Drosophila melanogaster: one gene and its partners. The protein of the gene in region 1 binds, or shares a complex with, the protein of each later gene. Each region holds a gene or a part of one and is shown on either strand. Other genes may lie near its edges.

Region 1 (10,485 bases):
AGTACTTTACACACGGCTTTTGCCTTCGTGTGTGGGAGGGAGGTGATGTGTTAATCAATCAGCGAGCGCGCATCGAAGGTACACTATTTGCCACATTGATTTGCTTACTTCTGGCGGATTTGTTCGTCTGTTACGATGTGTTTTTGATTTCTCGTATTTTGTTGCAACGGCTGTACGTGACTGCCGCGCACTTGCACAACGACCACAAAAATGCAGGGGATCCACGCTCCGGAAGGCACGAAAAATGCGACGACACCGCAAAGCGCAGCAGGAAATCGCAGACTCAAGCGCACCACACGTCCGCACTCCAGTGCGTCTCGATCGAAACTGACGATTGGATCGGATGGGAGCGGATTGCAGGTGAGCCGAGCTCAGCGCTCTCACCTGAATGGTATTTTTTTTTGTTGATTTTGACTTTTTACATTTTGGATCATATTAAATTAAATAATGATTGAATCTGGTATTTTTATTGTTGATATGATCTTGTTTTGGATTTTATTATAAATAAATTATGCTACATTATTGGTCATTAGGCAAAATTATAAAATAGCCTTGCAATTGGAATATAGGCTTTGGCTTAGAAGAGCAATTTCGAAAATTTACCTAAAAAAAATTAAAGAAAAACAAGACTGCTTCAAATTTAAAATCATACATTTTGTTTACTCTGCTCTGCGATAATTTCTCTCCGGATCTGGCAACGCCGAGGTTTCAGGGCCCCAACGTCGCTGATATGCTTTGAAATCATAAACATTTCAAGGTAATTTGATTTATTTGAAATATTTTTATTTTTTAAACTATCCTTTTTTTGTTATATTACGACTCCTAACTGTCAATTGCCCCACACGATGCTCTCGATCCAGTCGGTGTAGAGGTGGACTTTGGTATAGACACTCGGGAGTCCTTGGGAGCCACAAACTAATCCATATGAGACAATCCCTATGACCTGCTTCAGGCACGGATAGAGCGGATGCTGGACGAATATAGGTCCGCCGGAGTCACCGTTGCAGGTGTCCGCTTGGCTGGACATTGAGCCGGCACAGAACTGGGTGCGTGTATCGATGCTGAAACGCAGGCGCTTCTGGCACACCTCGTCACTGAATCGCTGGAGGTTGACCTTCAGCAGGTGCGAGGACTTCACACCGTCCGCGGTAAATCCCCAGCCGGCGGCTGTGACCTGCTGAACATCGTTGCCGCTGTCTGGCGGAAGGCATACCGCTGCCACATGGTCGTTGAACTCAGCCTTCCGATCCAGTTCCACCAGGGCAATATCGTTTTTAAAGCCCTGCTCTTCGTCTTCAGTATCATATCCAGGGTGCACCACATAGTTGACCACCCGAAAGTCCTGAACCAGAGCATCATCGGTGGTGCTGTTGTAGTCCAGCTCCCCCAGGCGAACTACAAATTTGGGCGAATCAAAGTTTGGGTCCAGTCGCTCGGCCTTCGATCTGACAATTAAAAGTACACATATGGAAGGAGTATCACTCAAGAGAATCCCAGAGAATACTTACTCATCCGTCTCCAGGCAATGCGCCGCAGTCAGTACGAATTTGGGATGCACCACGGATCCACCACAATCCCAATTGATGTCCGACTTGGACTTGTTGGGCCGATGAGTGCCGATTAGGGCCATGAAGGGAAACTCTTTACCGGATGCCTTTGTGCCGCCCACGATGAAGGGCGTGGACTGGCAGGCGGATCTGACCTCGTTGTATTGCTTGCACTCTAAAAAAAAAAAACGAATATTCAAATTCCATCAATCGAAGGGAATTGTTGCAGTCACTCCTCACGCTTCTCAAAAGGCCTCGTCTGTTCGGCTGGCTTCAGATTCTGGTGATCCAGCGGTATGGGACAGCAGACAATGTCGTTGAACTCGTCGCAGTACTTGACTTCGGCTCCGATCAGGTGCTGGTTGTAGAATATCACTGGACAGTCGGAGGGCGTCAGCTCCTTGCACTCGCCCGTTCCATTGTCGCAGTACTCGGTCACCACGCTGACTGAAGCAATCAGCAACAGAATCTGGATTCCCGGAAGCGCATACATCGCAGTGCTCTGCGATCACAACTGAGAACGGCGCTCGAGGTGGACAAGATCACCAACTACAGGTTATCTACGAAGAGCTTTAAGCTGGGCTTATTAAGTCAAGCTTTTGATTGTAAAGCTGGAGGGAGGACTTGGGCCGACAGCTGTGACTTACAAAAAGTTCCCTTAGTATCTAACTTAAACATATCTGAGAACTGTTTACACATTCAATGGAAAATGAATAATGCAATAAGCGATAAAATATAAGATAATACTACTATAAATTAGGCTTATGTCGTTATGTCAGCTTGAACTGACTTGGGAGTCCCACAAAGTCTAATTGTGGCGCATGTTTTGCATGTGCTGATGCTGCTGCATGTGCTGCATATACATTTGTTGCTGCTGGTTGATTTGCTGCTGCTGCTGTAGGTTGCCACCGCTGCCCAAGGGAACGCTGGTTGTTTGTACTGCGTTGATTTGTTGCTGCTGCATCTGTTGTTGCTGCTGTTGCTGCTGCTGCTGCTGCTGTTGCTGTTGTTGTTGCTGCTGTTGTTGCTGATGTGGTTGCTGCGGCTGCTGCTGATGCTGTGTTTGCATTGGAGACTGCGTTTGGCTGGTTATTGCATTATTGCTGGTATTGTCGTTGCTGAAATTGGAAAAGTTATGTTTAAACCGAAGTAGAGTTTGAATTAAATGGCCCTTACATCTTTTCAGTGTGAATATCCTCCAAGTTAAGGTGGGTTATGAACCTCAGGCGCATTTGCAGCAGGGGCCGTAGCCGCTTAATGATGGCTTCCGATTCGTTCTTAATGATATTACCCACATGTATATACTTAATGTGATAGCTGAAATGATACAAACACATTTGTTTAGTACCCTTTCATGCGATTTTGTGGATTTGCTTACAGGAAATCGCAGATCTGGTCCATGTACTGCAGAGGCTTCGGACCATGATGCTTGTCCACGATCTCAAGAATTTCGTAAAGCAACACGGCTATGCCAGCCACAGCGTTCGGTTTTTCCAACTCTATTCGTTGCAGGAAGGGGCCAAAAACGTGGCACAAATACAGCAATTGTTGTTCGGTTCGCACGCACGGCTTTAGCTTCTCCTTGAGGTACCTGGTCATTGCCGCCAGCTTAAAGGCGCCCATGTGATGGAACACTGAGTGAGCTACTGCCAACACCACGGCGTAGGTCTTTTCTAGCATCGCCTCACGCACTGTCTTGAAGTTAAACAACTCGAAAGCATTGAATCTGTAGGTCCAGTTCAGCATATTGGGTGTGTTGAGCATATCCTGTAGGCGATCGTATATGCCGCTCCAGTAGGGCTCAGGCAAGGCAGCCAGAACAATGCCCACAGCATTAATGTAGCTGTGAATGTCCTTTTGCGGAATAACCGCATATCCGCTTACTATAACATCGATGAGATTGCTGGCCACCAGTGGCGGTGCCACCGGCAGACCCAGCAGCTCCACGCATGTCACATAGAGCGCATGGGTTGGCGCATTCGGGAACTCGTTAAAACGCCAATCGGTGGAGTAAAATACATTCTTCCCACTAATTGCTGCAAAATAAAAGGGGTTACGCATGAATATATGAACACATCATAGTATTTTCCCAAATCCTAGCTTACTGTCTGCAAGTCTCCTGATCAAACTCATATAGTAGCTCAATTCGGGGGTCCACAGCGAGTCTTGGCTTTGCAAATACACCTTGTACGGCTCACTAACACTCCAGTTGGGCGGCCGAATCTCGCTAAAGGCGCTGGTGATAGCGCCAACCTGGAACAACACAGTGTATTAGAAGAAGGGAATATAATATTCATAACAAATCTTACAAGTTTCTTCTTTAGCGCAGGGCGGTCTCGTAAGATTCGCTCATAATAATGGAGGGTGTTGTACAGATATGTTATAGGTCGATCTGCAATTTAAAGGGTAATTTAAAGTTATGAAATTCTCGAAAGCCACTTTTAACATACCGTGAAACTTGTAGAGTATGCTCAGATGATCCAAAATGAAGCCCAATATCTGGTGGACATTTGTAATGGTAAGTTCGATAAATCTGTGCACTACCACATCCAGAACGGGAAGGAATCGCAGACAGACATTGCTGAAGTACACGGGCAGCGGAATCTGTGAAGCTGACTCGTCCAACGCGAACTTCTCTGGATACTTTTGATGGAATGACAAGTGTTTGTCCTGCCTGAGAAATAATAACAACTATGCCTTTGTGCTCTTAACAAAATCAAGTGTCCAACTTACCAGTTGCTCTGCTTCCAGTGATCAGGATTATTGTCCTTGCAGAACTCCTGAACACGATTTCTCAGCTCGCTGGCTTTCAGCAAGAGCAGCTGAATTATGAGAAAGCAGACTTGAGCCTCGTTACCCTCGTGCGTTCGCAGAGCCAGGCAAAGCACAACCCTATCGATGGTCACAACGTTGAACTTCCAAATCATGTTGTTAATGGTGTCGACGCACTTGTGAATAAAGTCGCGGCCATCCGATGAGCTAGCTACCTCAGCCACCAAGTAGTCACAAAATTTACGCAGATGAGTGGACAAGGCTCTCGCGCTTATACCCTCCAAAATTCTAAAAAAAAAGGTATGGTCAGAAAAAATGATTGTGTTTAAATCATAATGTTACGCACTTGTAAGCCACTGGGCTTATGTTCTCCGTCTCCCAAATTATTTTGAACAGAAGGCAAAGGAATAAAGGATTCGTAGTTGGACGCAAGAAGTGCGCAATTATGTCATTCTCGTTGGTCATCGACGTCCAGGTTCGATATTCCTCTTCCACGGCCTTCTTCAACTGCTGCTTGTTCTCCGGAGGTTGGTTGTTCTGCGTAAAGTACTCGTTTAAGGCGGGCGGAAAGCAGGCTAGGGAATGCATGGGCCACGAGTGCGGCGTGTGCTGAATGATGTTGGAAAGGAAGTCCTTGCACCATCCCTGCATTTCATCGCCGCCACCATGTACGTGCATGGATCGAGCTAGCGTAAGAATAAGTACTCTGTTTAGCTCTTCGCTCTCATTAGACGCCACTGCTCCGGGAGATTTGTCGTTAAAGTAACGCGAAAACTGCGGCTGAAACTCGGCGGATCCAATGCTGGTGATCAGACGCAGTGCAGTAGATTCAAAACTATACAAAGGGAAGAACTTAGAAAGAAGTCTATACTCGATAAACGTATAACTAACCAGAGATTGAGCTGCATCTTGTTTGTCTGCGGCACGGAGGACAGAGAATGAAGGAGAGACAGCAATTGGACCCGGTAGTGAGTAGGAACATGGTGCAGCCGGTACGAAAACATCTCCATTAAGGTGTGCAGCATGGCCCACGCATGGTTCTTAAACACTGTTGGCATCAGTTGGCCTTTAGGAGGAAAAAAAACCATAAACATATTGTTTAATCACTTCAACAGGCTGTACTTACTCAGGAATCCCTTTATACCGAGCGACTCGATTTCTGTATAAACCAGAAGTCTGGCATAAGTTTCCAGTAGTGCAGCCGCTGGAACTTGACCCTTGCTTTGGGCCTGTTTTAACATCTGAGTTACGAAGCTGTGGATTAACGACATCTTACTGTGCACCGTCAAGCTGTCCAGAACCGTGACCGAAAAAGTTACGGCTGGGATTTGGCCACCGTTTGGAGATTTTGAAGTGCCATTTAGGGCATCCAGCAGTAGACCCATGGGACGCCCGAAGTACTCCTGATTCGTTGAGTATGCATTGCAGATGAGAATTATGCGGAAGTCGTTTCCTAGCGTCATGTTCATCATGGTGTTAGCCGTGACTAGGTGCTGCAGAAAGCTGGGAATTAAGCAGTTAGTATCTAAACACCAAAGGAAGTTAGAGGTATTACTCGTAGTGGTTTTTCAGTGCAATTGGCAATGGTCTGGTGATGTTCATGTTTTCCACTCGTGCCTTCTTCATCAGGTGAATCCAAACGCAAATGGGTGCCATATGGCGAACCATCGAGGATTTATTGATATCTGGCAGCTTAAGAGGCTCTAGCTCGGGATATAGTAGGTCAAACAATCTGAACACAGGCAGGAAATTGGTGATCTAAAATTAAAAGCGATTAAAAATAAGATCAATCAGGTGGAGAACAGGATCTTACAGGATTTTTCTGTATGCTTCCGGATATAAACTGCAACAGAATCCACATAAGTTGATCGCGACCCTTGCGAAGCTCCAACTTGGAAAGCTATAGGTGAAAAGTAGTTAATTACAAGAAATATTAATTTCATCCACCATGGACCTACCTTTTCGTGGAGCGCCAACACTATGTGCATAAAGCTTACGAACTGAAAGAGCACAAAGTAAATTAGTTGCGAAGAGAGATGCAGCCACATCCACTCGTAGGGCGTGATCTGCTCGTCTGAGGAGTTAAAGCCACTTCCCGCAGTGGCATCATTCGCCTCCGTCATCTCCATGGCCTGCACTATGAGATTAACCAACTGCTCTTCCAGGGCATTGTAGCGCTGCTTCTGATGCTTTTGCAGGTTCAGCATTTGAGAGACCATTTCCCTTGAGTACGGCTGCTCCAAAACGTAGCGGAGTAGGGGCTTCTGCTCTTCGAGCAGCTCTGGCTCGTAGGGCAGGCTACCCTTAAAGTTAAACTTCAGGGTATTGTGGTCCAGTCGCCAGGAGTTCATCATGTGATCGGCATAGCCGAAATGCTCTACGATGGGAAGCATGCTGGCATGTCCAATGATCGAAACCATTTGTGCCGTGGTGCGGAACTCTTCGACAAAGTCGGTCATCAGCCGGTTGAGTTTCCAGTGGTAAGGAAACGGACGCATAATCTCGTTGGCAATAAAGTAGGCGGGCAGCAGGCAATTGTTGCGATCAAAGATGAATCGCAGGATATCCTCAACGGCCAGTAGCTGTGGCATGTAGGTAACGTTGACGTTCAGCGGAAACCATTGTGCCTTGTCGCGGCATACCTTCATGATCTCGCGCACACCCTTGTAGTCCACCTGGACGATCACACGCTTGATCAGCCGGAAGCTCTCGATCCAGAAGGTCCTGTGCTCGAAGTCCAGTTTCTCGCACATCAGCACCTTGTCGCACAGCATCCTGGCGGTGATCACGTGTGCGTCCACCAGCTTCACCAGTGCCGCCATCAGCACTTTGATGTGATATCCGGAGGCACCGGCGGCACGCAACAGGTAGAGCCGAAGCACCTGCTCCCGGTTCTCCTGCGCCACGTTCCCAAAGGCGGTAACTGAAACAGATAGTTTTTAACAATTTTCGAGTTCCAGCAGACGCATTTACCTACCCAAATCATTGGCGAAGCGGGTAGCTCGTTCTTGCTCGGTGTTTGGCTTGAATACAATGACGCTAACGAACGCCTCGTCAAGGGAGTCGACCTTCTGCGAAATGGAGAGCGTGGATGAGTGGGTGATTTTTTGGAGACGCAGGGTTTCACTATTACCAGAAACTCGTTAACGGTGTCTATAACTTGCGTTTCCATATCCATTTAAATTATTTTTCGCATATCCGACACCGCATAAACAAAAACTACCTGGGCACAGTGTGACCAAATGGGGCTTAGTAAAGAATCTAAAAGTGGCTTTTTCTGATAACAAGAAATAGCTAAAGGATTAGATTAAAAACGCCAGGCAGGCAGCACTGACTGATTAGCCGGCATTTAAAGCAGCTGGTCGCATTGAGTCGAAAATTACTTTAGAAACTAATTGACTTGATTTGTGGAATCGCACAAAAATCATGAAGAAAGTTCTGGTTACAGGCGGAACTGGGCTGGTGGGCAAGGCCCTGGAGGCTGTGATCAAGGAGCAGTCCCCAGAGGACGAGCAATGGTTTTTTGCGGGCTCTAAAGATGCAGATTTGACGTAAGTCATGAAGAAATTCAATTGAACGTATCCGTAAACAAATTCTCTCCACAGAAATCTGGCCGCCACGCAGGCACTCTTCGCCCGAGAGAAGCCCACGCATGTCATCCATCTGGCTGCAATGGTCGGAGGCCTGTTCCACAACATGAACAACAACCTGGACTTCTTGGTGAGCTCCTGGTCTCACAGATGATTCCAAAACCCATTTCATGCGAATCCACTTTTAGCGCAACAACCTGCTCATTAACGACAATGTCCTGCAAACGGCACACGAGCAGGGATGCGTGAAGGTGGTGTCCTGCCTGTCCACATGCATTTTTCCGGACAAAACCAGCTACCCCATAGATGAGACCATGGTGCACAATGGGCCGCCGCACCCCTCCAATTATGGTTACTCCTACGCAAAGCGACTGATAGACGTGCAGAACCACGCCTACCACGATAAATATGGCCGGGTGTACACCTCGGTCATTCCGTGCAACATATTCGGTCCCCACGACAACTATAATCCAGAGGTCAGCCACGTTATTCCGGGCATGATCTATAGGATGCACCAGCTGGTTACGGAGAAGACTGACGTCCCCGAAAACGACAAGGTGTTCACCGTTTTCGGAAGCGGCATGCCACTACGGCAGTTTGTATACTCCCGGGACCTGGCGGAGCTGATGATCTGGGTGCTCAGGAACTACGAAAGTGTGGAGCCCATCATCCTAAGCGCGGACGAAGTGCAGGAGGTGACGATCTTCGAGGTGGCCCAAGCCGTTGCAAAAGCATTTAATTTTAATGTGGGTTAAAAAGCGAAATTTGAGACAAGGCAAGATATTAACTTGATTTATTCCAGGGAAGACTGGTCTGTGATACGAGCAAGTCGGATGGACAGTACAAAAAGACTGCGTCTAATGCCAAGCTTCGCTCCTTCCTGCCAGACTACGCATTTACGGACTTGGAAACGGCAATCAACGCCTCGGTTAAGTGGTACATAGAAAACTACGACCAGGCTAGAAAGTAATTGAATATTCCAACCCCAAAAAAAAATGTAAATAGACAACGAATTTTCACAGAACTTTATGCGCGTTTAATGTCCAACAAAATAACAATACCTTAATCAGTCCAGGAGTCGCCGTATTGGTTCTTCCTTCCAGCGGGTTCACTTTGTGCCTGCTCCACGGGTCGCTGTTGAACGGCAACTGGTGGTTCGTAAGGTCGCGAGTATGGACTCTGCTGGTGCTTCGAATACTCTTCTCGGTTCCTTCGTCGCAGGTCCTCGTAAGACTGGCCCGGCTTAGACGGCTCCAAGGGCAACTCTGCCTCCAGCATTGAACCAGCTGCTGGGAAGGAGAATGTACAGAATCATAATAGGGAATGCGAAGAATTAGATGAGCTTACAGTCCAGGGTGGGGCGGTAGATGTCGTCAAGGCCGGACAAAGTAGGGCGCGATTCCGTGTCCAGATTGAGAGAAGTGCTCCTCCCGGGCTGATACGCCTCATCGCTGTACACGTCCGCCGAGCTCGGCGAGAAGGGGGCCAGAGTGAAGGCCCTGCCCAGATTCTCGTCCGGTGTGATGGAGCTGATGACACCGCCGCCCTGTCTACGCTGACGCAGCAGCTCGCCCAGATGGGAGTTGGGTAGGCGCATGATCTTCTCGGCACACTTCTGCTGGTAACTGAACTTGCCCACAAAGTAGCCCAGAATGACGCCCATCACGACCTTGGGCACGGCGCCGTACTTGACGTGTCCCTGCAAATAGCCGTTCTTGACGCCGAAGTAGGCCAGCAGGCCCAGTCCAGTGCCGAAAGGCAGGCTGCGCTGGAAGAAAGACTCAGTGTTGCACTCACGTAACGCCTTCACCTCCTCCGCAGAAAACTGATAGTCCGCCTGAAATAGATGCAAACGTTTGGGTAGTGGCAGTTTAAGGACCGTAGAGCACTCACCAGGGGGTGGGGAGCGTGCGGCGGTGGATGGTGAGAGCCATCGTTCAGCGGGGAGTCCATGCTGATACAATTTAATGTGGAATTTGTGAAATGTATAACGGACCAACTACCGGCGCAGCCGATTTGCCAACCCTGGTCGCCGGCGAAACGGGCCAGTGACTTCTGCACATCTCCAGAACTAGTGATGGTCGATCTATGCACGATGGTTGCGATAGGGACTCTTTGTCTATCCTAAACTGGTTAAAAACCTTTTTCTTTAAGAAGTTAAAACTAAATAACAAAGACAACATTCATTTACAGTTGATACAATGGAATTTGTTGTCAATATAAGTAAAATTTGGAATAGACTTTCATTTGATCTTAGTAGTAAACAAATCACATTTTATAGAATGCAAAGTTTGCGCTGATTATCATTCATTTTATTTATACAAAATTTTATATATTTATGTAAGTTTAGCAACACTATCAGCAGCGTTGACTGTACGGAGAGGCAGTTTAGATATATAAACCAAATTAAAAATCGAATAAAATCAAAACCACCAGTCGACAAACGAATACACTTTTGAAAATTGCCAGTAATTGGAGAACGCGTGCTTTGATAAGAGGTGGAAAGTCGCGCACCACCAGAACCAGGGATGCAACGCGCACGACGCGACGAGATTATGACATTTTCGCTGTCAAGT
Region 2 (10,314 bases), on another chromosome or scaffold:
ACAACAACAAGAAGTACGTGGCGAGGAACCCCTTTCTCACCTGGACTAAGCTTGCCTACTACCGCCTCTTCTCAAGAGTGAGTGTTCAAATTCGAATTAGTCAATGCACAGCTGTATACCAATTTACCCTTTTTTCAGATGTACAAGTGGGTTGGCTGTTGTGCTGAGACTATCATGGTGAACTCCTCGTGGACCGAGAATCATATTCTGCAACTGTGGGATGTGCCCTTCAAAACACACCGGGTTTACCCTCCGTGCGAGGTTAGTCACCTAAAGAGCCTTCAGCACACGGAAAAAGGCGACGAATTCATCATACTGTCTGTCGGACAGTTCCGCCCGGAGAAAGACCATCCCCTCCAGCTGCAAGCCATATACGAGCTCCGAACTCTCTTGGCCCAAGACGAGGCCCTTTGGAACCAAATTAAGTTGGTTATTGTGGGCTCCTGCCGAAATGAAGATGACTACGAGCGGTTGAAAAACATGCAGGACCTGACAAAGCATCTGTCGCTAGAAAACAATGTGCAATTTAGTGTGAATGTCCCTTACGAAGACCTTCTTAAGTTGTATCAAACTGCCCACATTGGCATTCACACTATGTGGAACGAACATTTTGGCATCGGCATCGTCGAGTCCATGGCTGCTGGCCTTATAATGGTGGCCCACAAGTCAGGGGGTCCTTTGCTTGACATTGTCGAAACTTCCGCGGGAAGTCAGAACGGATTCCTGGCTACTGACGCCGTTGAATACGCAGAAAACATATTAAATATTATTGTTAACAACTCAGAAATGAACGGCATTCGAAACGCAGCCAGGTAACTAGATAAACATTTACAGTTTGCACACTTTAATATATTTTGGTTCGCTTTTAGGGCCTCCGTGGAACGGTTTTCTGAGCAAGAGTTTGAAAAAAACTTTCTTCGAGCTGTTTCAACGCTATTTACCAACAATTAAAAAATAATAGTACGCCCGCACCTAAATAAATATGCAAAGCCCAAAAATCTCCAACTGAATACATTTATTATACTCTACAACATATTTAGAGCGATTTTATCGTACATATCGCATCGCTTTCCTTAAGATTTACCTAATGCATTTTTAAAGCATAAGGTGATTTCGGTTTGATCGACTTAACAGAATCGGGAATAATCTCTGAGATTTTGTACCAAATTCGCCATCGTGTTGTAAAATTTTATTTATTTCCTTTGGAGTTTTAAATCATTTTTCTGCCAATAAAGTTAAGAAATTGCCTAATAAGATCCTTAGTTTCTATGCATCATAAAACAAAATCGTGTAACTAATGGCTTTAAACTAACTCACTATGCTAGCTTTAAGAGAAAATCGCATAGAGCAACAGGAATATCTCATGACGGCTGTCTTTCTTCTGTCATTCGCCAGCCAGGCTAGCCAAAAGCTCCTCATCTATCCCATCCGCCGATGGTGTACCCGCCGTGCTGCTAAGATTGAGCAGTCCTTCATTGCCAGACTGCGAAGGAGGCACCGGCGGCTTCGCTTCCGGCTCCGTCAGTCCAGTAGAGCTGGCAATAGGTCCTAATATCGAAGATGATGTTCCCGCTAAAGCCGGTTCTGAACTGCCACTTGGCGTGCTGCGTCCACTGGTTGTATTGCCTCCGCTTCCTCTCTGCGATAACTTTGGGATCTGGAATTTGTTGTGGAGCCCCTTGATGAAGCCTTCCATGCTTGCGGCCATTGTCGGAGAAGCGTATTGGAGGATGGTCATCATATCCGTGTGGTGATCGAATCGCGGCGGTGGCTGCGACATTGAGCCGCTAAGGGCCGGCGATACCGACCCCGAAGATCCGCTGCCTCCTCCCGAAGCGGAGCCTAACTTTCGCTGCCCGCTGCCTCCTCCACTGCTGCCGCTAGCCAAGGCTCCCATGCTGGGACGCCGCCTGGGGGCATTGTGCTCTTGGAAGGAGTTAGTGCTGTTGCTCTTAGTCAGCGGAATTCCGCCACCTGATCCCGACCCACTGAGCTTGCTGCTGAGATTGCCCGAGGAGTTTGCCTTCTGGAAGAAATGCTTGCTGGATGATGCCGTGGCGGACGAGACCGCTGCGGTGGCCTTCTTGGAAGCGGGTCCGCTGTTAACGCCCGGCTTGAGTCCGGTATGCTGCTTCTTCGTGGATCCAGTGGACCCAGCGAAGCTCGTGGCGCCGCTGCTGCTGCTCTTTGCCTTCGCTTGGAGGCCAGAGGAGGAACTAGAGCCGGAGCCGGTGCCGGAGCTCTTGCTGCTTCCCGTCTTGTTGATGGTCAGCTTGAGGCCCTCTTGGCTGCTGGGCTTCACCATGTATTCCGTGGAGGCTCCGGCCGGATTGATGCTCCCGGCGGAGTCGCTGCTGCCCCCGCTGGTGGTTAAGCAGCTACTAGTTGGCGCTGCTCCCGGCTGTGGCTGCTGCTGCAGAATTGTTGCTGTTGCCAGCGTTGCTGCTGCCGCTGCTCCCGCTGTTTCCTGCCCCTGACCCACTACCGCTGAGACTGGAGACACCAATGACGCTGCCGAGCCCGCTGCCACTGTTGTTGTTGGTGCCGGAATTGTTGGCGCTAAAGCTGCCGTCGACGTCATCAAACTAACCTGACAAAGTAAGCATGTGGTTGTGTGTGTGTTAGGGACCAAAGAAACCAAAAATAAACCAGAAAAGAAATTATAACAATCAAAAAGGGGAACATCACGTGTAGCAAAAGAAAAAATTGTGGGATTTCACAACCATTGGTAGTGTAGGAAGGGAATACAAACAGGAAGAAAGAAGAATGGACCCCGTTAATAATTAGCTTTATAGTTAAGTCGGATACGAAATATATTTTTGAGGAGAAAATGTATGAGGCAAACGCTTGTGGAGCTACTTTCAAAGTGTACATCATAAGCACATTAAACACTAATTTTAAACGTAGTAAATATTTAAGTGAGAAGGAACTCTTGTAACTAAATCTAGAAAAGGGGAAACAATCAAATTATAATACTCGTAGAGTCAAGATGCCAAGCACTACTAATTTACACATTATTTACTGATGTTCTTAACAAAGCTTAAAAGTCATATGCATACACATTCTTATAAATCCAGCAATACTGTAGACACTATAAACTTGGTGAACCAGTACGCCATGGTTTTCTACATGCCACATGCTGGCCAAACAACTATACAAATCAAACAGATTAACTAATAATAAAAACATACGTTCTCAATGCAGAAAAAGAGGTTTAAGCTGGTGTTTTGGGGATAAGCCCCATTACCATACGAGTTTTGGGTTTGGTCGAAAATAAAACGGATGCAGCAGTATATATGACAAATAATTGAATCATATGTATTTACAAAAATTAGAAAAGGCAAAACGAAACACTAACAAAAATAATAATCATAGTACTAAATATAATCATTTTCAACTACAGCAGAGGTAGGCAAATTACAAATCGTTTTATAGCTAAAGTAAATACAGCATTTGCATTAGTTTAAAGATAGGTTCGCTCTGAGTTTGATTCTGCATTGGTTAGGAGAGGTGGCAGAGAGTCAACTACGTGTTAGGCTTCCAGTGGGAGATGCTGGGGGTGGGTTGGTGTGGTGTGGAGTGGAGCACTTATAATGAAAACGGACTTACCGCACCTCCCGCCATGCCCTTGCGCAGGGCACTCAGCTCCAGTCCGGAGGCCCCCGCTCCAGCGCCAGCTCCTGCTCCCACCACCACTGCGGCTGCACCAGATGCTCCCGCTCCCGACGGGGCCGCATAGCTACCCAGTCCCCCGCCCGCCGCCAGATGCGAAAGACTGGCGACTGACTTCATCTGCTGTTGTGAGGATTTCAGGGCAGCTACTGCAGCAGCCACACTTGCCGGTGAAATACCTCCGCCAGATGCGACACCTGCAGTTGCCGAGGATGATGTGGAACTGGAACCGGATGCCGAAGAGGTTTTCTCCTTCTTTAAACTCTGGCTGCTGCTGATAGATCCGCTCGAGCTCGCTAATGGAGGAATTGGAGGTGGTGGAGGCGGAGCTCCAACGCTGGCAAATGACCTCACCAGGCCAGTAGCTCCGCTGGATCCTGAGGAGGCGGATGGTCCCGAAGATGTGTTACCCACAGCTGACGAGGACTTATCGCCCTTGGGACTTAAGATGGTGGCAGCTGTAGCTGCACTTTTAAGCGTTGACATGCTCGGCTTTCCGGAAGAGCCGTGTTTGGGTGAGTGTGTGCCAAACGGCGACTTCGGGCTGTTGGAGGCGGTGTTGTGCTTGGGACTGCTATACACGGGAGAGTGCTTGGGGCTGGGACGGGCAGTCGGCACTCCGGCCATTAGACCCTGTCCACCGCCACCAGCTTTGGGTGACGACGAGGGAGAGGAAAACTTGCGAACCACTCCACCAGTTGCGGAAGCATCTGCGCCACCTGCAGGCGAGTTTTGCCTAGAATAGATCTTCTCCGGCGGTCCCATGGGCGAATCGTCGCGCTTTTTCTTGCGCTTCTTTTCCTTCTGCGTATCTGAAGAGCCGCTGCTGGCTGAAGACGACATGGAGCTGCCAGAACCACTACAACCGGACGTAGACGAACTACTTGTGCTACTTTCGTGGGGACGCTTTGCGGCCACACCTACTCCAGCTGAAGCAGCGGTACTTTTTTTGGTTGAGTCCTTACTGGGATCCTTGCCAGTTATTGGGGTAATAGTTATAGTCGTGGGAGTGGCACTGGATGAGGCTGTAACACCTCCTCCGGCTATAGCCGCCTGGGCATTCAATGGAATAATTTCGATACCACCCGTTCGCTGTACCTCGACCCCGGACACTCCCCCAGCTGATCCAGACTTTCCATCTCCTGGGATGGGGGTGATGCTGACGCAATGCTTCAAATTTGGAGTCTTGTCCTTCCAGATATTTTTGTACTTGTCAGCAATGTCATGGTCACTCGTCTTGGCGGAGCCGGATGAGCTGGAGCTGCCGCTGACCGTGGTGCCACTGGCCGAACTACCAGACTGTGGATCGGTTTCCCGCTTAAGATTGATCAAACCCGCTATGGCCGCTGCTGCCGAAGTAGAAGCGGCAAAAGCATCCGCTAGAGATCGCGACTTCGCATCCATTTTAAGGTTGTTAATGTTGGCGAAGCCACCTCCGGGTAGGCTTCCATCGGAAGGCGTCGGCGTATCCATTGAAAACTGGCTAAAGTTATTGCCTACTCCTGAGACAGGTCCACCACCACTCATGCCTCCACCTCCGATTGCTCCAGAACCAGATCCAGGTCCAATCGCGCCATGCAGTTTGAATTCGTGCTCCTCATCCCAGCACTTAAGCAACTTGTAGATTACCATCGGAATGGATACCACTTTGCGCGCGGTGCGGGTTAACTTCTGGGACAGCAGCTCGTATTCGTTGGTCAGACAGTAAACGCTGCACGTGGGCTGACCATCCTCAAGCAGAAAATCCACAGTGGCCAGCGACTCTTCGTACGGGTGCTGCAGCTCAACCGTGATTTGATTAAATGAAACGGCGGTTACCTCCAGTATCACAGTGCTGTCCATATCTGGGACGAATGAGCATAAAAAAAATATTATTATCATAAAACAGGAATGTGGGGGGAAGTGGAGCACCCAACTCACCATTATACTGCTTCTGCTGCTCACGAACACAGCTTGCGAGCAGGGTGTAGAAGAGAGCTTGTTTCTTGAGGAACGCCACGATTCGCGGAACCTGGGCGGGTTCAGTGAAGGGCAGTGATGACACCAGAGTTCCCTGCAGTTTGCGGTTGTCGGTAAAGAAATAGCAGTGCGTCTCTTTAGGTAAATTCACATACAGGCCGCGCTGTGTGTTCTTAATGGCCTGCTTCGATGCAGTTTGTACTATGAGATTAAGCACTGTGGTGGGCGGACCAGGAGGAGTGGCAACTGAGTCTAGACCGGGCAGACCGAGAGCCTTTAGTGATTCCAGGCAAACAGGCATGGGTTTGTTCAGCCGAAGCACAAACGTGGCCGGCATCAGCAGCGAGTTGTTCTGGTTAAGTTGGGCATAGGTGGGAACCTCCAACCCCGTTTGGGCATCGCGGACCAAAGTCACCGTTGGCAAAGTCTGCAGTTTGTTGGCTGATGAGCCTTCGAGATTGATAGTGGCACTCAGTCCGTAGCTGCTTCGCATTACCTGGTCGATGGTGAAATCGCCGCTGGCCAGTTTGGGATCCCCTTCGGGAAGGTGGAGCGGCGGGCAGAAATAAGTAAGCCTCATAGGATGGCCACCGCGACGGGGCAGCACAAGACCCACCGATGAACTTGTCATAAGTGAGTAGCTGTCTCCGGAGTGACCTTGCAGGTGCAGTTGGTATAGGCTCTGGATATCCGTCTCCATGGCCTGAAGCGCTACAAACGCCTTCTTTTTCACCTTGGGCTCGGCATTCAGCTGGTAAATGGAGGACAGACCCTCGAGTTGAACCGTAAAGTCTGCAAAGTCGCCAGACTTGAGGCAGGCCACTAGCTCGCTGGACTGTTGCTCGATCTTGCACTCGTGGTGCACCTTGACGTCCGACAGACTGCCGGCGGCGTCCAGCAGGATCTCTACGTAGAACATGTCCGTTGATATGAAGAGAAGCTGCTGGTCCTCCATGAACTTGAGGCCCAACTGGCGCGAGAGGCTCTCCAAACGCTCCACAAGGCCGTGGCGTGACGTGACCTTGATGTAGTGCTGCAACTTGTCCAGCGCCGACTGCAGCGTGGCCTTGCACAGGGGGTCCAGAGGGTAGTGCTTCTCGATAAAGTACATACGCACCGACTTCTTGATCTCCTCGTAGCTCTTTGGCTTGTTCCGGTACTTGGCCCGCAGCTTCTCCATCATGGTTTCCTGCTGGATCTGCTTGTTCTTTTCCTCGATGCTGGGAATGTGGCTGCCGAAGCCTGTGCAGATTTGTGTCAGTGGTGCTCCGGACATCTTAGTTATGGGGGTATATATTAGTACTTACCAGTCCCCGAGGACTTTGCATTGGATCCGCTCATATCTATGCGTTCCTAAGTAAACTGTATTTACTTAATGATGCTGTGGCATTTTTGACAAAGAATTGCGGCAAATGAAAAAGTTCTCGATCTAAATAGCTCAGAACCTTTTTTCTATGCCTTCATCATGGCAAAAAAATTTCAACGCCAAAACAACAAAATGGCTGATCCTTCACAGTGGCTGGTCACGCTATAATAAAATACTGGAATATAAAACGGAACTATGATATTTCCACTGCGTCATTTGATATTCGATGTATTCTGATTCAAAGCTTGTATCAATTGCCTGTTCAATTATGTATGTTATATTTTTTAGTATGAGGGGTAAATATAATGAAGCAATTAACATCTATATTCTATACATCCTTCTGGTACTTTTACATTCTATTTTTTATGATGTAATTGTGCCTCATTTCCTACTCGAATTTTCTCTTAAGCTACAAGGGTATTGTAATGAACAGAAAAGCTCAAACATTCTTTCGTTAAAAAATAAATTACAGGCCTCATAATTTAATACCGATGATTTAATATTTATTTAAAATTTCCAATGATTTCTAAATGTCTTATTGGCATAAAGTTTAATTTGGGGTTTCTGTTCCAAGAAACCGAAAATGATTATTTAAAGTTTCTTGAGATTTGAAAGAAACTATAATCCTATAAAAATAAATATCAGCTAAAAAAAACTTTAAGGACTAATCAAATAAGTAAACAAATACAGCTTACGACTTAAACAAATTTTATTTCGCTAAATTCATGATAAGTCTTAAGCGTTCCTCTCTTCCTCGTACTTACCTAAACTACGACAGATATACGGATTATATTGAATATAGGTTTGGTCCGACAAATCAAAAGTAGTCATAACCTTTACTAAAGGTAGATGTTATATTTCATAGAAAATTGCAAAAGCTTAAATTCAAATTTTATTAAACATTTAAAGTATTTCAAATTTCTGTTTTCTCTAAATTATTTTGGTATATTTATTATCATCAAAGTGCAGAGCGATATTTGTATGCATGCGCGGTCACATTGAGCGTAAATGATAAATATTTGTTATTAAAGTGTTTCGGAACCAAAGGTTAACAATTCAGCCACATGACGTCCATTGCGGGAGGCCACGGCGAGGCGAATCCAAACAGCTCCTGGCTGAGTGCCCGGGGATTTTGGCTAGCATACCTCCTGGGCCTGCTGTCGGTGCACCTGCTCTTCTTATCAGTGCCCTTCGTTAGCATTCCATGGGCCTGGACGGCTACCAACCTGCTTCACAATGCAGTGAGTGCTCATGGCGCCGTTGAGGAGTCAGTCCTTATCCTAATCCCTCTTGCCAGGCCCACCTGTACTTTCTGCACGTCATCAAGGGCGCTCCCTGGCTGAGCACGGAGAACGATCCCAGCCGGCGTTGGACGCACTGGGAACAGATCGATGACGGGGTACAGATGACCACAACGCGCAAGTTCCTCACAGCTGTTCCCATTGTTCTGTAAGTGAATACGTACTGAAAGTCGGCCAATATAGGTGGGTTTTTATTTAAAAAAATTAAAACTAAATGAAGACTTAAATTCTAAACTTGTTTTAATGTTGATCAAAGTATTTCAATAAATACTTTTTATGTACTGCAGTTTAATTGAACTAGTAATGTAATTGCTACCATATAATGCCTAACATAGAAACTCATGAAATAATTGATTTTTTTATAGTTTCCTACTTACCTGTCTGTACACCCGAAACAACACGGAACACTTTATCCCAAACTTTATATCCCTGGTGGTCGTCACGCTTCCCAAGCTGCCGCAGTTCCACGGCGTGCGGCTGTTCAACATTAACAAGTACTAGCTCCTGTGAGAACGGGCCGCATTTATTTTGTTTAATGAAAATGTACATACAAACTTATATTGATGGCACAGCTCTTGCTCAAAAATGTAAATATTGCTAAATAAAATATTTATCAAATTAAATAATTCTAAAAATCGCGTTTCGATTTTTATTGCATAAATAATTATTGATCATGGAAACTACAAATCATCTAAAAGATGTATTTGGGGGCCAGCACATGAGATATTTTATAACCCATTATGTCAGACGATTAAGTAGAACCATGATGTAGTTCTTTAGCCCAAAGGATTAAACTTGATCAATCGCTGTACACAGAAGTCTTCGTAGTGACGAAAAGCACAGTGAGTGGGGTGCGTAAGTATAGTACATATATAAGCCGAAAGATTGAAAACATGAAAGAAAAACCCGTTAACTGATTTTTTCTGTTAAATATTCTTAAATATAATCATACAACATACAAAAGTACTGCTATCAACTTAAGTGGCGAAAAATGATTATAGACATACTATACAGATACAATGCAAACACTCGCCGCAAACAAGCAAACAACAACAAACAAAAAGCTTTTTCTGTTTTATGAGCTCTCGAGAAAGTCGCGCCCCTGAAAAACTATTCTAAATTCCAGTCAAGTGGCGATTACAGGACAGCTTATCTCTCATTATTGTGGGCGGTAAAATGCGGGGGATGGGCAATCGACTTCTGACAAGCTGATTGCCCGGTTTGACTTTGAGGGAGAAGCTCGCGACCCGAACGACTTTGGCAATTCATAATAACAGAGGTGTGCCGGATCGGAGTATGCCTGATACCCAGGCAGTTGCTGTCAGCCGTTTCAAGGGGAAGGAACGACACCGAGACGCGCCGAGATGTCGATTACCCTAGAGGAGGAAATCTTCGGCTTGGCCGTGAATCCGTTCACCAAGTCGCCCGAAATGGTGCGCCGGTACACGCTTAAGAACTCCAAGGGCATGACCGTGTCAGTGATCCAACTGGGGGCCATCATCCAGAGCGTCTGCTTGCCGGACGCCTACAAGAAGGTGGATGATGTGTGCCTCGGCTTCGACGACATCGCCAGTTACTTGGCCAACAAGGGAGCCTACATCGGTGGGACCCTCGGACGAGTGGCCAACCGGGTGGCCAATGGCGAGTATACGTTTAACGACACGAAAGTCTCGGTGACAAAAAATATCCAGGTAAATATTTCACAAGTGACCGATTTTTGAATACTATTTGAGATGAGGATTTTTGACACTTGTTTTGGCAAGAGAACTTAGTGTTAGAAGTTTTTTGATTGGTATACTTGTTGTACTTGTACTTGTTGTAAAGTATCAGGTAGAGGAAAGCGATTCCGACCCTATAAGTGGATTTGCAATCAAGGTCACTTGCCAAGTCGACCTGGTTTATTAGTTGAGATAAGGCATGCATATTATAGTGACGAATACAAATACATATATTCAAGTTTGTCTCAGATGAAAAAAGACCCGATATCGGCTGTGCTCAGCGTACTCGGCGACACAA
Region 3 (5,696 bases), 2.6 Mb from region 1:
CGAGGATCCGGAGTCCATGTATATGTGCGTGAACATTGGCCTTCGCCTGGAGCTCGAGATGGCTAGGTAAGTGCCTTTATTGAAGCTTTTGTACAATGTCTATTCATTCTATATCATTATGGTCAATGTCATCTAATCACATCGTCATCAAGCTCCCTAAACAACGACATCTGAATTGTGACTGGTGCCCTATAAGTTTATATTAACAATATAATTGATCCTTTGCTTAATGCTATCTCTATAAGTGCTTCAATAAACCGGAACTGACTTGATATGTTATTGCTAACACAAATTCGATCTACGTTTTGTAAGCTTACCCTAAAATCATGCACATCTTTGTATATAATCTGAAAAATATACTCTTAAGCTGCCACACATATGTACTTTACTACCCAATAAGCCCGAAAGCAATCAGATTTTTTAAACCTTGAAACCAACAATTGCCTCCCAATCCCCCAATCTGGCTTGTTCCCGCCCCACCCTTGATTCCCCACCCACACAGCTCCATTCATCCGGAGAAGTATGATCATACGCTCCTGAGCTCCAATGTCCAGCTGCCCAGACGCGGTAGCTTCAGCTCCGTGTTCTCGAATCAGAGCAGCAGCAGCGACCTTGTCGCTACCACTCCCCCGGTGACGCCAGAGAAGAAACCATCCGCAAGATCGACCGGCAGCACCTTTTCGTCTCTCATGCTCAAGGATTACGAGGCTATTCCGGCAGTGGGTGCCTATTTCGAGGTGCGCGTTGCCCTCTCCGTCAATCCCGGTCACTTTGCGGTAAGTCAATCATCAGCAAATTAATGACTCCGATTATGATGTGCGATTCTTCCGCAGGTGCAACCGTACAAATACTATAACCAGCTGCAGACTTTGATGAAGAATTTACAAGAGCATTGCCAAAAGACGGCAGCCAAGGGAGTGCAGCCTTCACAACTGGCCATTGGAGAGGCCTACGCTGCCCCTGACTCCGAAGGCGTATATCATCGGTAAGAACTTATTCAGGTCTTGCAATAAAAACGCAGACTAAATCTGTTAATCTTGCAGCGTAAGTATTCACAAGATTTACGATGAGATTATACACGTGCGTTTCGTCGACGTGGGCGACGATGGAGTAATTGCCTGTGATCAACTGAAAACTCTAAATCCGGAGTTAAGAAAGCTGCCCAAGATGGCATTGCCAGCACAACTTTATGGCAAGTTCAAGAGAACTTCAGCAGTTTGGCGTTAGAACTAAAAACGATCTTCTTTCAGGCATACAACTGACTGATGTAGTATGGAGCAAGGAGAACTGCGTCCGATTCCGGGAACTGTCGCTGGGTCAGAAGTTTATTGGCATTGTGCGGCGAATGACTAAACAAAAGGATGGCGGACGAGCGCTGTGCCTGGAGCTGGTGGACACCTCCACGCCGAAAGATATTAAGCTGCACGAGATTCTCATCAATGAGAAGCACGCACAGCCAGCAACATAAGAAGTCTGAGTCGGAGGAGACGATCCATTTAAATTTGTTCATGTTTATGTTTGCGTAATCCTAGTTTTAGAATTAGGAATATACATATAACTTATTACGACGAAACATTCCGCCAGATGGAACCGATAATAGCTAATAAACTGATGTTTTTTATCGAGAGAACGGATGCACTTGATTTGCGGACTTGATGTTTGTTTTCACAGCCGATGGCGCCTTTCCCAGCTGCTGCTGCACGTTGCCGGGACTCATAGCGGGTCCACCCATTGGCGAGGGTGCTCGAATTGAAGGCGGTACCATCATGCCAGGTCCGGGTCCATAGTTGGTCAGCTTGAGTCCTTTTCCCATACCCACGGCGGCCACCAGGAGCTGTGTGTCGGCCATGCTACTCGTCTGCTGGATGCCGGTGCGCGAAGAGCTCTCGATTTCCCACTCCTCGCGCGCTTTGCTGACCATATCCAGGACGTGGGAGACGACCTTGTTGTATTGAGTGACCTGTTTCATGGCAGCGTCGTTGGTGAGGTTCGCCGCCTTCTGTTCGTTCTGCAGCATTTTCTGTTCCGTAATCGGATCCGGCCGAGTTCTCAAATAGTCTGGAACAATGTCGTGTGAAAAGACTGGCACCCGACCCTCTGTGATGTTGATGAGGGTGTCATCCCGGTCCATGGAGACCAGAAGGGGCAGGACCGTTCGATTTCTTAGCGGCGGACACTGCTCCTTTGCCAAGATTTTCGTCAATCCCGTCAAGTGACTTGAGATAATGGCAAAGTTGTCCAGGAAAGTCGGCCAGTTGATGGTCTCGTACTCTAGCTCAAGTTTTTGGATCATCGAGAGAACCGCCAGCTTCAGGTCGTTCAGACGCTGAAGGACCGTATCCAGCGTCAGCTCAAAAAGCTTTTCGTCGCGCTGCATTTTGGAAACTCCCAATTAAACTATTATTTTTAACTTCAGTCGGATGGACACAAAGTGGAAAGTGTGACCGTGGATCTGCTTATTATCATTTGTTAGTCGGGTGTAATAAAATACTGCAACACCGTACTATCGATAACGTTTGCGATAGCAGCAAACTGGCGTCCACACTACATTCAGATCCTAAAATTAAAATCATATGGTCAATTAAGGAAACTGAACAATAAAAAATGAATTAATGCTCACCAATAACTAATAATTGATCGTTATTATTTGTTTCTGTTTTAATTTAAATAGAACTAATAACTTTTATTTTTGCAATAATTAGCAGAATCGTTAATGCATACTTAAAATAATGTCAAAACAATATGATATGATTTAAATAGTCTAATATATAAAACATTCCCAAAACGAATAGTGTTTTCAACTACGAGCGCCTCTTGAAATAACACAATATTTATTATTAAAATATATAAACTGACTCGAGTTCATCAGACTCTGAACAGTCCTTAGACTATTGAAGCCAAGCCATCGATTGTGCCCCGGCATATCGATACTACCAACATGGCCGTCGAGAAAAATTGAAGTGAACGCAACGCCGTGTTTTTCATTTGCCAATAAAACGTTAACAGCTCACGAAATATCGTAAAGCGTGCCCGCAAACGTCGCCAAATGTAAGCAAATTATTTTAGTGCCTGTTTTACATCGTTTACATAATTGCCAGAGCTGAAATTCGAAATTTAGTTGCTGCCGTCGGGAGTATCGCCAACTTTTGCCTCACACTCTCTCTCTGTCTCGCTCTGCATTCCTCTCGTGCTGACAAGGCAAATATATTGGTGCTGGTGTGAGTGTATGTGTGAAAAATGGAAGAAATTCAAAATGCATATGTGAAAAGATATACGCGCAAGCCGATTAAAAATCGGCTCTCTCGCACGATTTTGATTGGGACCACAGGTCCCCGACCCCCGCGGCGTGATATGGGTTAAATGACAGCCGGAGCGCGTCCGCGATTCTCTCTGCGTTTTCAGGTCTCTCCGCTCTATTCCCATTCTGTATAACTCCGCTCCTGATATTGTTGTTGCTTTGTGTTAGCCATTTCTAATGCTCTCTTTACATGTTTCTATATTCAATTGTAATATATTTGCAGCTTGTTGTGTATGTTTTTGAAATGGTAAAGTGTGTTGTCGCGTTCGCCAAACCGAATCCGAAACAGTAAACCAAACCCTAACCGATTGGGGGTAATAAACATTGAAACCCGAGTACATACATACATATATCTGTCGCGCGATATATATACATATACATAGTTGCCAAAGCGATAGAAATCCGAAATCTCGCGATGGCGTCGCGCAGGCGCGCCGAACTGAATCCAAAACTGCACATGGACAGGCAGCCGACAGCTGCCCGCATAACAGGTACCTGAACTGAAACTTCTACCAACTACCAGCAAGCAACTGCATAGAAGTGGGAAAACCCAATTACCTCGCCGGGATTAGCGATGTCTAAGGGCCCATAAACCCATCAGCCCGTCTTAGGGGCTTCCCGGAACAAAGCACCGCCCACCACCCTGCCAATCGAAGCTTACCTTTTACCTCTCAACCTTGCAGATCCCTCATTACCCGCTGGAAAGCGACGCGAGATCGACAACGTGATGAAGAAGGCGCGCGCCAACACCACCAACGATTATTGGGACAAGAAGCTGATCGAGGCAGAGGAGAAGGATCCAAACCGATGGCGCCACACGGGCTACAAGAAGATGTACATCCAGGGGGAGAGCAGCTCTGGAGAGAGCGAACGCGACGGTCGCGAAGGTCGTGAGGGTGGAGCACCGCCCTACGGTCGTTATCCGCCCACAGGTGGACCGCCGCCAGGTCCACCGCCTCCGTCGCAGCGTTACGGACGCTCTCGTTCGCCGCACTCACGCAGTCGGTCGCGTTTGCGCAAATCGCCACCGCTTTCACCACCTCCGCGTCGTCGTTCACCGCCCATGGCTATGCACAGTGGCATGGATCGCCGTGGTGGACCTCGCTCGCCGCCAATGCCACGATCGCCCAACAATAGCCACGATGCCCTCATGCGTCGACCCGGAAACGGCCACGGCGGAAGGCCCCGATCACCGCCGGAACCCAGTGGTGGCTCGTCGTCCTCGTCGTTGCGACGCAAGCCAAACGCGTCGCGTTCTCCGCTCGGACGTCGCCGGTCTCCACCGCTTCCTCCGCCCTCGTCGTCGGCAATGGAGAAGCGAGGTCCAGTCGCCCATATCCTGCCGCGCTCCAAGCGACCGCCATCGCCACCACCGAGGGTGAGTTTTCAACCAGATAGTGATACATATTATTCTGTCAGTGAGAACCATACCATTTATACATATATCCGTGTCCCTTTGCAGCACTCGATGCGTTCGCGATCAAACAGCTCTATGAGCACCAGCTCCGATGATTCCTGCTCCCTCTGCTCACCCAGTCATCGTCACAGATCTCGGTAAGTATTGATATATGAAATGTGTTTTCTTTGTTCCTATTAAACTTTTTTTTTTCCATCTTAAAGATCCCGCGGTCCGCGCTCGCCGCCACCCAAGCCACGTGGCCATTATCGTTCGGGGGCGCCTCCGCCCCCTCCGTCGGAATCACATGGCCGTATCCATGGTCGCCCCACCACTCCACCGCCCGTGCGCGGAGGTGGAGGCAGTTCGGTTTCCGCCATGGAGAAGTATCGCCAGGCGAAGATGCGTCACATCGGGCATGAACGTGTCGCCTCGTCGGACACCCACATGAAGATCGCGCGGTCCTCGCGCCATTCGCCTCCGCCGGAAGATCCGCGTCTTAAGCACCGCCCGCCAGAGCCACCAGAGCCGGCGTCAGCGCCAGCTGCAGCACCTACAACACAGGCAAAAAAGAAGAAGAAGGAAAAGGAGGTAAGCATTGTCCGAAGCTAAGAGTCAAAATAAATTTGAAACCAAATATAACAATCCATATATATTATTTTCCATCAGGTGAGGCCACGCATTAAAATTGAAGGTGAGAAACGCAAAAAACATCCGAGCGGGACGTCCAGTGGCACCGGAGCTAACGCGGCAAACTCCTCCTCGGACTCGGACGATTCGAACGGCTCGGACAGCGACGAGGTCGGCACGTTGCCCACATTCTCGGCTACTACGCGGCTGACGCTCTCGGATCGATTCGGCAAAATGGCGCAGTGGAGCATCGATCGCAGCAACATGGAGAACATGCGCATCACCAAAGACTCCGCCGGTGGGGCCCTCAAAGTAATGATTGAGGAGGGCCTGGAGTCGCCGCCGCGTCGCTATTCGTATTCGCCGGCACCG
Region 4 (5,757 bases), on another chromosome or scaffold:
TGCGTGCCACATGAAGGGGTTCAGTTTGAGGGCGCGCCTTAAAGCACTAACGGCCAGTTTATTGCGCTCGGTCCTCATGCAGATCTGGGCCATTAGCTGATAGGCGAAGCAGGCCAGATCCCCGAAGTCCCGCTGCAGCTCATCGCAGTTCTTGGCGTCCGCGAATCCCGTGGAGATCAGGGCACTCTCCGCCTCAGCGTATTTTTTCAGCTCGTAGGCACATTTGGCCTGCAGAAAGCGGCACTGCGGCGAGCGGCGTGCCTTCTCCTTGAGCAGCCAATATGCCTGGTGCACCTGATTGGAGCGGAAGTAGCTGGTGGCCAGCAGGAATATCGTCTCGTCGCTCTCCACTGCAAGGACACGGTGAAAGAGAAAATCAGTGATATACCCGGTCAGACAAACGAGACCTTGACCTATACCTTCTGAGCACAGGCGTTCCGACAGGAAAACGGCATCCTTGAAGTCGTAGTAGTTCAGGCAATGCCATATGGCGGCCTTTGGGAGCGAAAAAAAAGAAGGGAGAAAATTTGGTTTTTTATAGAGGCCAGGTGGACCGAGGAGCTATTGATTTACCTGCACGGGCTCTTGAATCATCATGTCTGGGCGGTATGTGCGACTTTCTAGGGGCGCTCTATGAGATGTACGTTCACTGTACTTCAGGGCTTTACAATAATTCAAACATGCAGTGTGTAGAACTCAAACAAACTATCATGTCGCCCCCCACTCGTACACTCTTCTGTTTGTATTTGTATTCGAATTGTTTTCTTTTGGCCAAATTTTTTCCAACAATATCGAATGGGAAAAAGTAAAAGTTTGGCCTGTGTGCTGGCTGGCTGTGTGGTATGTGAGTGTCGTATGTAACCCGATTGCGGATGCGGCGATGCAAGTGGCGATGGCGGTGTCTCTCGCTCCCTGGCCTCCACTCCACTCCACCTTCCACTTCCACTTTTTCTTTATATTTGATATTGCAATTGGTTTGAGTCGAGCCTTCGCTTCGCTTCGCCCTCTGTACACACACACTGCGAACGGGGGGTCGGTTTTCTACTATCGTTTTCGGGGCTTATCTCTCGTTAAAGACGCACACGGGGCTGATCTGCGATTGGCGGCGACACTGGACTACACCTTGGCCACATTTTAGCTACTTGAAACACGCTGCATACGCGTTGCATTCCATTTTATTTGAAAAACCAAAGCTAAAATAATTGCGAGCTGTCAAAGTATCGATTGCACGCGACCCTGCCAATCGATTGTTTATATGGTTGAGGAGGACCGTATCGCACTAGCGCAAAAGTACCAAGCTCTTGACACGAAGCTATTATAAGCTGTTTCCACTGATACATAACTTTGCATTTTTTTAAATGCCAATTTAAATTGTAAATTAATATCATTAAAGAAGGTCATAAAATTAGATATGTATCCCAGCTACTCAAATATATACATAACTAGACTTCCTTACAGCGCGCTTTTATTAAATACCTAATACTACTAGCTTAAACGAGATTTAGTTATAGTTTTTTATCCAATTCTACTGCGAATCGCTGGAACTGGAGCTTGAGCTATCCGTGGACATGACCTCCACATCGTCCTGGGCGCGCGTCTCCAGGGCCACTGTGTTCCCAGAGGCGCCCATGGTCATGTGCAGCTCTCCGAGATTCCAGTTAAACTGGTTCTGGAAGGCATTGGGCACCTCGCCGCCGGCGCCACTGCCACTCCCACTTCCTGCGCTACCGGACAGCGTTCGCTGCTGCTCCGAGGGCATGCCGCTGTTCTGGTGGGTCACTGTTCCGCCGTTGATGTTCTGCTCGGATTTACCCAGCAGCCCGTTGCGCATCTCAATGTCCGTGGGATAGGGACGCCGCAGGTCACCTATGCACCAGGTGAGCGGAGCACTGACCGCATTGGCGGAGCTAATCCGATGTGCGTATTTGATGAGCTCCTCGGATGAAACCGGTCGTTTGTTGGCCTGATTGATGCTGGCCAGTTTCTGTCGCGCTTGGAAGATGGCCGTGGACAGTATGAGCTCCGCATCCTTTAGCGACTTTTGCAGCTTCTGGATCTCACGGTCCTAAGCGGGAAAATCCAGATTATACCTTATTTTTGGGGAATGCAAAACTTCTACTTACGTGCACCTCGACCTTAGCGCGCAGTTGGTCCATCGCCTCCTCCACTTTCGCCTGCTCCTCCGCCAGTTCCAGCATTTTGCGAAATTCCTCATCTTTGGCCACCAGCAAATCCAACAGGTCCACCAATTCGGTGCTGGAGATCTTCTGGTGCGCCTGCTCGATCAACTCCTTGGCAATCATCTCAATGTCGTCGATCAGGAGCAGAAGGCGCTCTTTTGTGCTCAAATGAAACGACATTATCACGGCAAATCGTTTGTGCTAAGCAATAATTGCAATTTGTTTATTTTCCACACCGCAATGTGGCCGTTCTTCGATTGCTGAAATATACCGTATAGTATTCCGGAGCGCTGTTAATACCACGTTGTAAAAATACCGTAACAGAGAGGTTGCCAGACTAATAGGAGTTGCCACATGGGTTATTTCATACACTCAAAAAAAAGGGAATCAAGTACTCAAAAGCAAAGAGTAGAAGAGACTGTTCAAAAATAAAACAAATTCGCAGCGTTATCTCTAGTAGGTATTATTTGCTTGTTTATTTCTCGTGTGTTACAATTGCAGTTACAATTTTAGCATAAAACTCTTCTGTTGATTAGCCAAATCAAACCTAACAAACCTTCTCAAATATGGCAGATTACAATACTCTGTTGCATCCTCGCGTTCGCGTCTCCCGTCAGTTTCACTCTTAAAACATACAAACCAGCAAGCAACTTGCAGCAGGTACGTTGGAGGGGCCTTGTTAATAACCGTTTAGAACTAGTAGATAGTCTTACAATTAGTTAAGATATAAGTGGTTTATATGTGGCTATTCATATTTCTTCTCCGCCCAAAGGATCCCCTTTCATCAAACCGCATATGTATGTACATACATACATATGTACATATGCATAACAATCAGTATCGCTGGCTCTCGCGATCCGAGTATTTGCCACTCAGCTTGCTAACCGAATAGCGATCCGAGTAGGCATCGTACTTGTCCGCCTTGTAGTTGATCTCCTGCGGCGTGTATCCGATATTCTTCTGCCAGTGCCGCGTCCAGTAGAGATCCTCGTTGCGCACCTGCGATGGCGTCTTCGCATCCCGGAACACGTACACACAGTAGATCATGCAGCCGATTAGCGTGAGGAAGCCGAAGACCAGGAACACAATTCCCAGTATCCACACGTACAGTGGCTCATAGAACTGCACCACAATGACGAATCCTAGCGTCACCAGGATCAGGCCCAAGTTGAGCAACAGCATCAGACAGCACACGCCCTTGACATTGGGGCAAAATGGATTCGGCGCGGACATGGTTTCCACTTTGGCGCCTCGCCGAGTCGTCGAGCGCGCACTGCGTCCGGTTTTGGCCGTACTGGCCACGGAGTAAACACTCCGTGGAGCTCCTCGCGACACTGGACGCTGACTGTAGCGACTGTAATGGATGATAGATAGTTTAGATATGGGTTATATGCTATATAGTTGTAACAACGCACCTGATCTCGGAGGGCGCCTTGTAGGCGGCACTGGTCACATAGATGTCGCTGCCGGCGTCACCAGCCTGGTCATAGCTCAGGGCGGACGGAGCACGCGGTGGCTGGCGCGTGGGCGGCGGTCCGCTGAGGGAGCGAGGTCCTCCGTTGTCCGGCGAACTGGAGAGGCCCATCTGACTGTGGCTGTAGCTGCTCTGCAGGTGCTGATGCTGATGGTTTCCATTCGAGGATGAGGAGCGCTTCTTGCGCGAACCATTGTACTGCGGCGAGATGCGCTCGTGGGTCAACGTGTACTCCGAATAGGTGCGCTCCGAGGGCGCCCGGTGGGAGTGGGTCTCATCGCCGTCGGTGGAATAGCCGCGGTTCGAGTGGACGTAGGGCGGATCCGGAGTGAGGCGACCGTGCGTGGCCACATAATGGCTGCCCTTCAACCTGTAATTGGATCGCAAATGTTATCGCCGCTGTATTAGCCGTTAAGTGGCCCATCCGCGCTACTCACTTCTTCACTTGTCTCTCGTGCATCCTGTATCTTTTGCTCCGCCTGTATCTGTATCTTTTGCTGGCTCTTCTCTGCGGCTGATTGACTGCTAATGGACCCGTCTAGCAATTCCTCGAGGTGCCTGCAATGGGTAAGTAAAGCAAAACAAACACACGATGAGCTCGACTTCATGGCAATTAGGTTTTGGCTTCACTTTATCGACTAGCTTAGAACTTTTAATTAGAGCGATGAAAGTTTTATTCGACTGCAGACAGCAGCCATATTCAATAAAATAACTGGTTTGTTTGAATTTCACAAGCGTAACGTAAAGTTTCATGGCTCTGGGTTCTCTGCTCGTTGTAAAAGTTTAATAGTTAATATTTATTAAAATTACACATAAACTCGAGAGCAACATCTGGATCATTAAAAATTTTAAGCAACTCCAGAGAAAATGTTTTTTAATTGAAAATAATGCGATACCCTGCTAATATTAAACACGCGACAAAGGATCATAAAGAAGGAGGTATTTCGATAAGCTGGCCGTCCATGGAGTAGATTCTCTGCATCCATGAATTCCATTTTGCAATCAAAACAGACCTTAAACTTCCCTTACGCCTTGCATAACTTATATCAATTTATGGTTCCCGAGCGGAGGACACACCCAGCTTAATGATTGGAATGGCAGTTCGTTGCACTTTTCCGTTAAATTCGCCCCCATATCCCATACCAATGCCAACCATCCTGGCCACCAGGAACACCGCAGGCACTCAGCCAAGTTGGAGAAATTCGTTCGTTCGTTCTTTCAAGTTCATGGCAGAGAAATTGAAGTTGCCCGTCCTTCGCATTCGCCATTCGCCGGCAATTTGTCACTTGGTCACGTAGTGCTCGGTTCTGGGTGCGTCACTCCAATCCAAGCCAACCCGACCCAACCGAACCGAGGTGACAGTTGTTAAAAGGGAGCGCCAGCGGGTTAAGGGCAAACTGGTTACATCGGCCGCAAACTTAATCTCTGCCCGATGTTACCATGCATTTGTTTACGCACCCCAGTTGCTCATAAATCAGCATTTCTATCACACTCGTATATGTCAATCAACAGGTAAGATAGTTTAGCAAAACAAAGGTTTTACTATGTTTAGGTACCTGATTTTCCTCTGTGCATCATTAACCCCTTGCCAACTATGAGTTCTACTTATGACACTCGAATGTGTCAATCAAAAGTAACCATATATTGGAAAAACAAGAGTTCTTCTCACATTTAGATGTTTTTGCCAAGAATTTTAACGAACCTGTTTGAGATTTGTGCCCATATTATGCCAGCCTCTTATTATTAGCATAATGCTTTGAAGTATTAATCAGCTGCACAACACAACTGTCCGTAATCAGATACATTTTTTTTATATATTTATTTTTAACGAATCTGGCTGTTTATAATTTACCAGCTTCCTTTTCTCGCAGCATATAATTAACGCCTGGCAGCTGATAAAATTGAGTTATTGCCTCGATTAGGCCAATTAAAGGGTGTCGTTATCGGGCCATGTTGGTCCAGCTAGGATGGGCTGCCTGCTCCTCCTGCTCCGCTTGCCAATCCTCCACAGAAATGGCGACCAGCCTTCTTATTATTTCAGCTGAAGCCAATCGCCGAGTGCATTTACATTTGTGCCCTGCCCGGCGGTCAATCGCGATACAA

What was found.
Region 2: MED23 (region 1) and MED1 share a complex: the UniProt entries of both Drosophila melanogaster proteins name them as parts of the mediator complex.
Region 3: MED23 (region 1) and MED8 share a complex: the UniProt entries of both Drosophila melanogaster proteins name them as parts of the mediator complex.
Region 4: MED23 (region 1) and MED4 share a complex: the UniProt entries of both Drosophila melanogaster proteins name them as parts of the mediator complex.

What each region holds. Positions count from the first base shown.
Region 1 is NT_033778.4:22,886,020-22,896,504, reverse strand, and holds MED23 (mediator complex subunit 23), read right to left. Parts: upstream 7,578-10,485; 5' UTR 7,492-7,577; coding exon 7,453-7,491; intron 7,391-7,452; coding exon 7,297-7,390; intron 7,243-7,296; coding exon 6,278-7,242; intron 6,220-6,277; coding exon 6,133-6,219; intron 6,078-6,132; coding exon 5,875-6,077; intron 5,823-5,874; coding exon 5,446-5,822; intron 5,386-5,445; coding exon 5,211-5,385; intron 5,155-5,210; coding exon 4,666-5,154; intron 4,608-4,665; coding exon 4,281-4,607; intron 4,222-4,280; coding exon 3,998-4,221; intron 3,940-3,997; coding exon 3,857-3,939; intron 3,801-3,856; coding exon 3,653-3,800; intron 3,584-3,652; coding exon 2,926-3,583; intron 2,865-2,925; coding exon 2,724-2,864; intron 2,666-2,723; coding exon 2,356-2,665; 3' UTR 2,080-2,355; downstream 1-2,079. Other genes in the region: CG3700 (uncharacterized protein), read right to left, coding at 830-1,445, 1,509-1,722, 1,788-2,040; Gmer (GDP-4-keto-6-deoxy-D-mannose 3,5-epimerase/4-reductase), read left to right, coding at 7,746-7,870, 7,925-8,039, 8,098-8,655, 8,712-8,879; asrij, read right to left, coding at 8,972-9,198, 9,257-9,746, 9,803-9,862. UniProt on the Drosophila melanogaster protein: Component of the Mediator complex, a coactivator involved in the regulated transcription of nearly all RNA polymerase II-dependent genes.
Region 2 is NT_037436.4:21,627,324-21,637,637, forward strand, and holds MED1 (mediator complex subunit 1), read right to left. Parts: upstream 7,124-10,314; 5' UTR 6,973-7,123; coding exon 6,939-6,972; intron 6,874-6,938; coding exon 5,593-6,873; intron 5,517-5,592; coding exon 3,610-5,516; coding exon of another isoform or gene 3,589-3,609; exon of another isoform or gene 2,798-3,588; intron 2,591-2,797; coding exon 1,385-2,590; 3' UTR 1,002-1,384; downstream 1-1,001. Other genes in the region: Alg11 (ALG11, alpha-1,2-mannosyltransferase), read left to right, coding at 1-77, 139-812, 870-951; ORMDL (orosomucoid 1-like), read left to right, coding at 8,062-8,238, 8,295-8,446, 8,664-8,799; CG32444 (uncharacterized protein), read left to right, coding at 9,663-9,989. UniProt on the Drosophila melanogaster protein: Component of the Mediator complex, a coactivator involved in the regulated transcription of nearly all RNA polymerase II-dependent genes.
Region 3 is NT_033778.4:20,324,346-20,330,041, forward strand, and holds MED8 (mediator complex subunit 8), read right to left. Parts: upstream 2,462-5,696; 5' UTR 2,378-2,461; coding exon 1,619-2,377; 3' UTR 1,499-1,618; downstream 1-1,498. Other genes in the region: tapas, read left to right, coding at 1-66, 503-776, 834-985, 1,044-1,192, 1,251-1,468; CG8929 (uncharacterized protein), read left to right, coding at 3,714-3,789, 3,982-4,676, 4,761-4,852, 4,919-5,285, 5,364-5,696. UniProt on the Drosophila melanogaster protein: Component of the Mediator complex, a coactivator involved in the regulated transcription of nearly all RNA polymerase II-dependent genes.
Region 4 is NT_037436.4:7,248,085-7,253,841, forward strand, and holds MED4 (mediator complex subunit 4), read right to left. Parts: upstream 2,444-5,757; 5' UTR 2,361-2,443; coding exon 2,124-2,360; intron 2,066-2,123; coding exon 1,526-2,065; 3' UTR 1,445-1,525; downstream 1-1,444. Other genes in the region: Cdc27 (cell division cycle 27), read right to left, coding at 1-350, 420-495, 574-597; CG14830 (uncharacterized protein), read right to left, coding at 3,015-3,534, 3,596-4,024, 4,092-4,114. UniProt on the Drosophila melanogaster protein: Component of the Mediator complex, a coactivator involved in the regulated transcription of nearly all RNA polymerase II-dependent genes.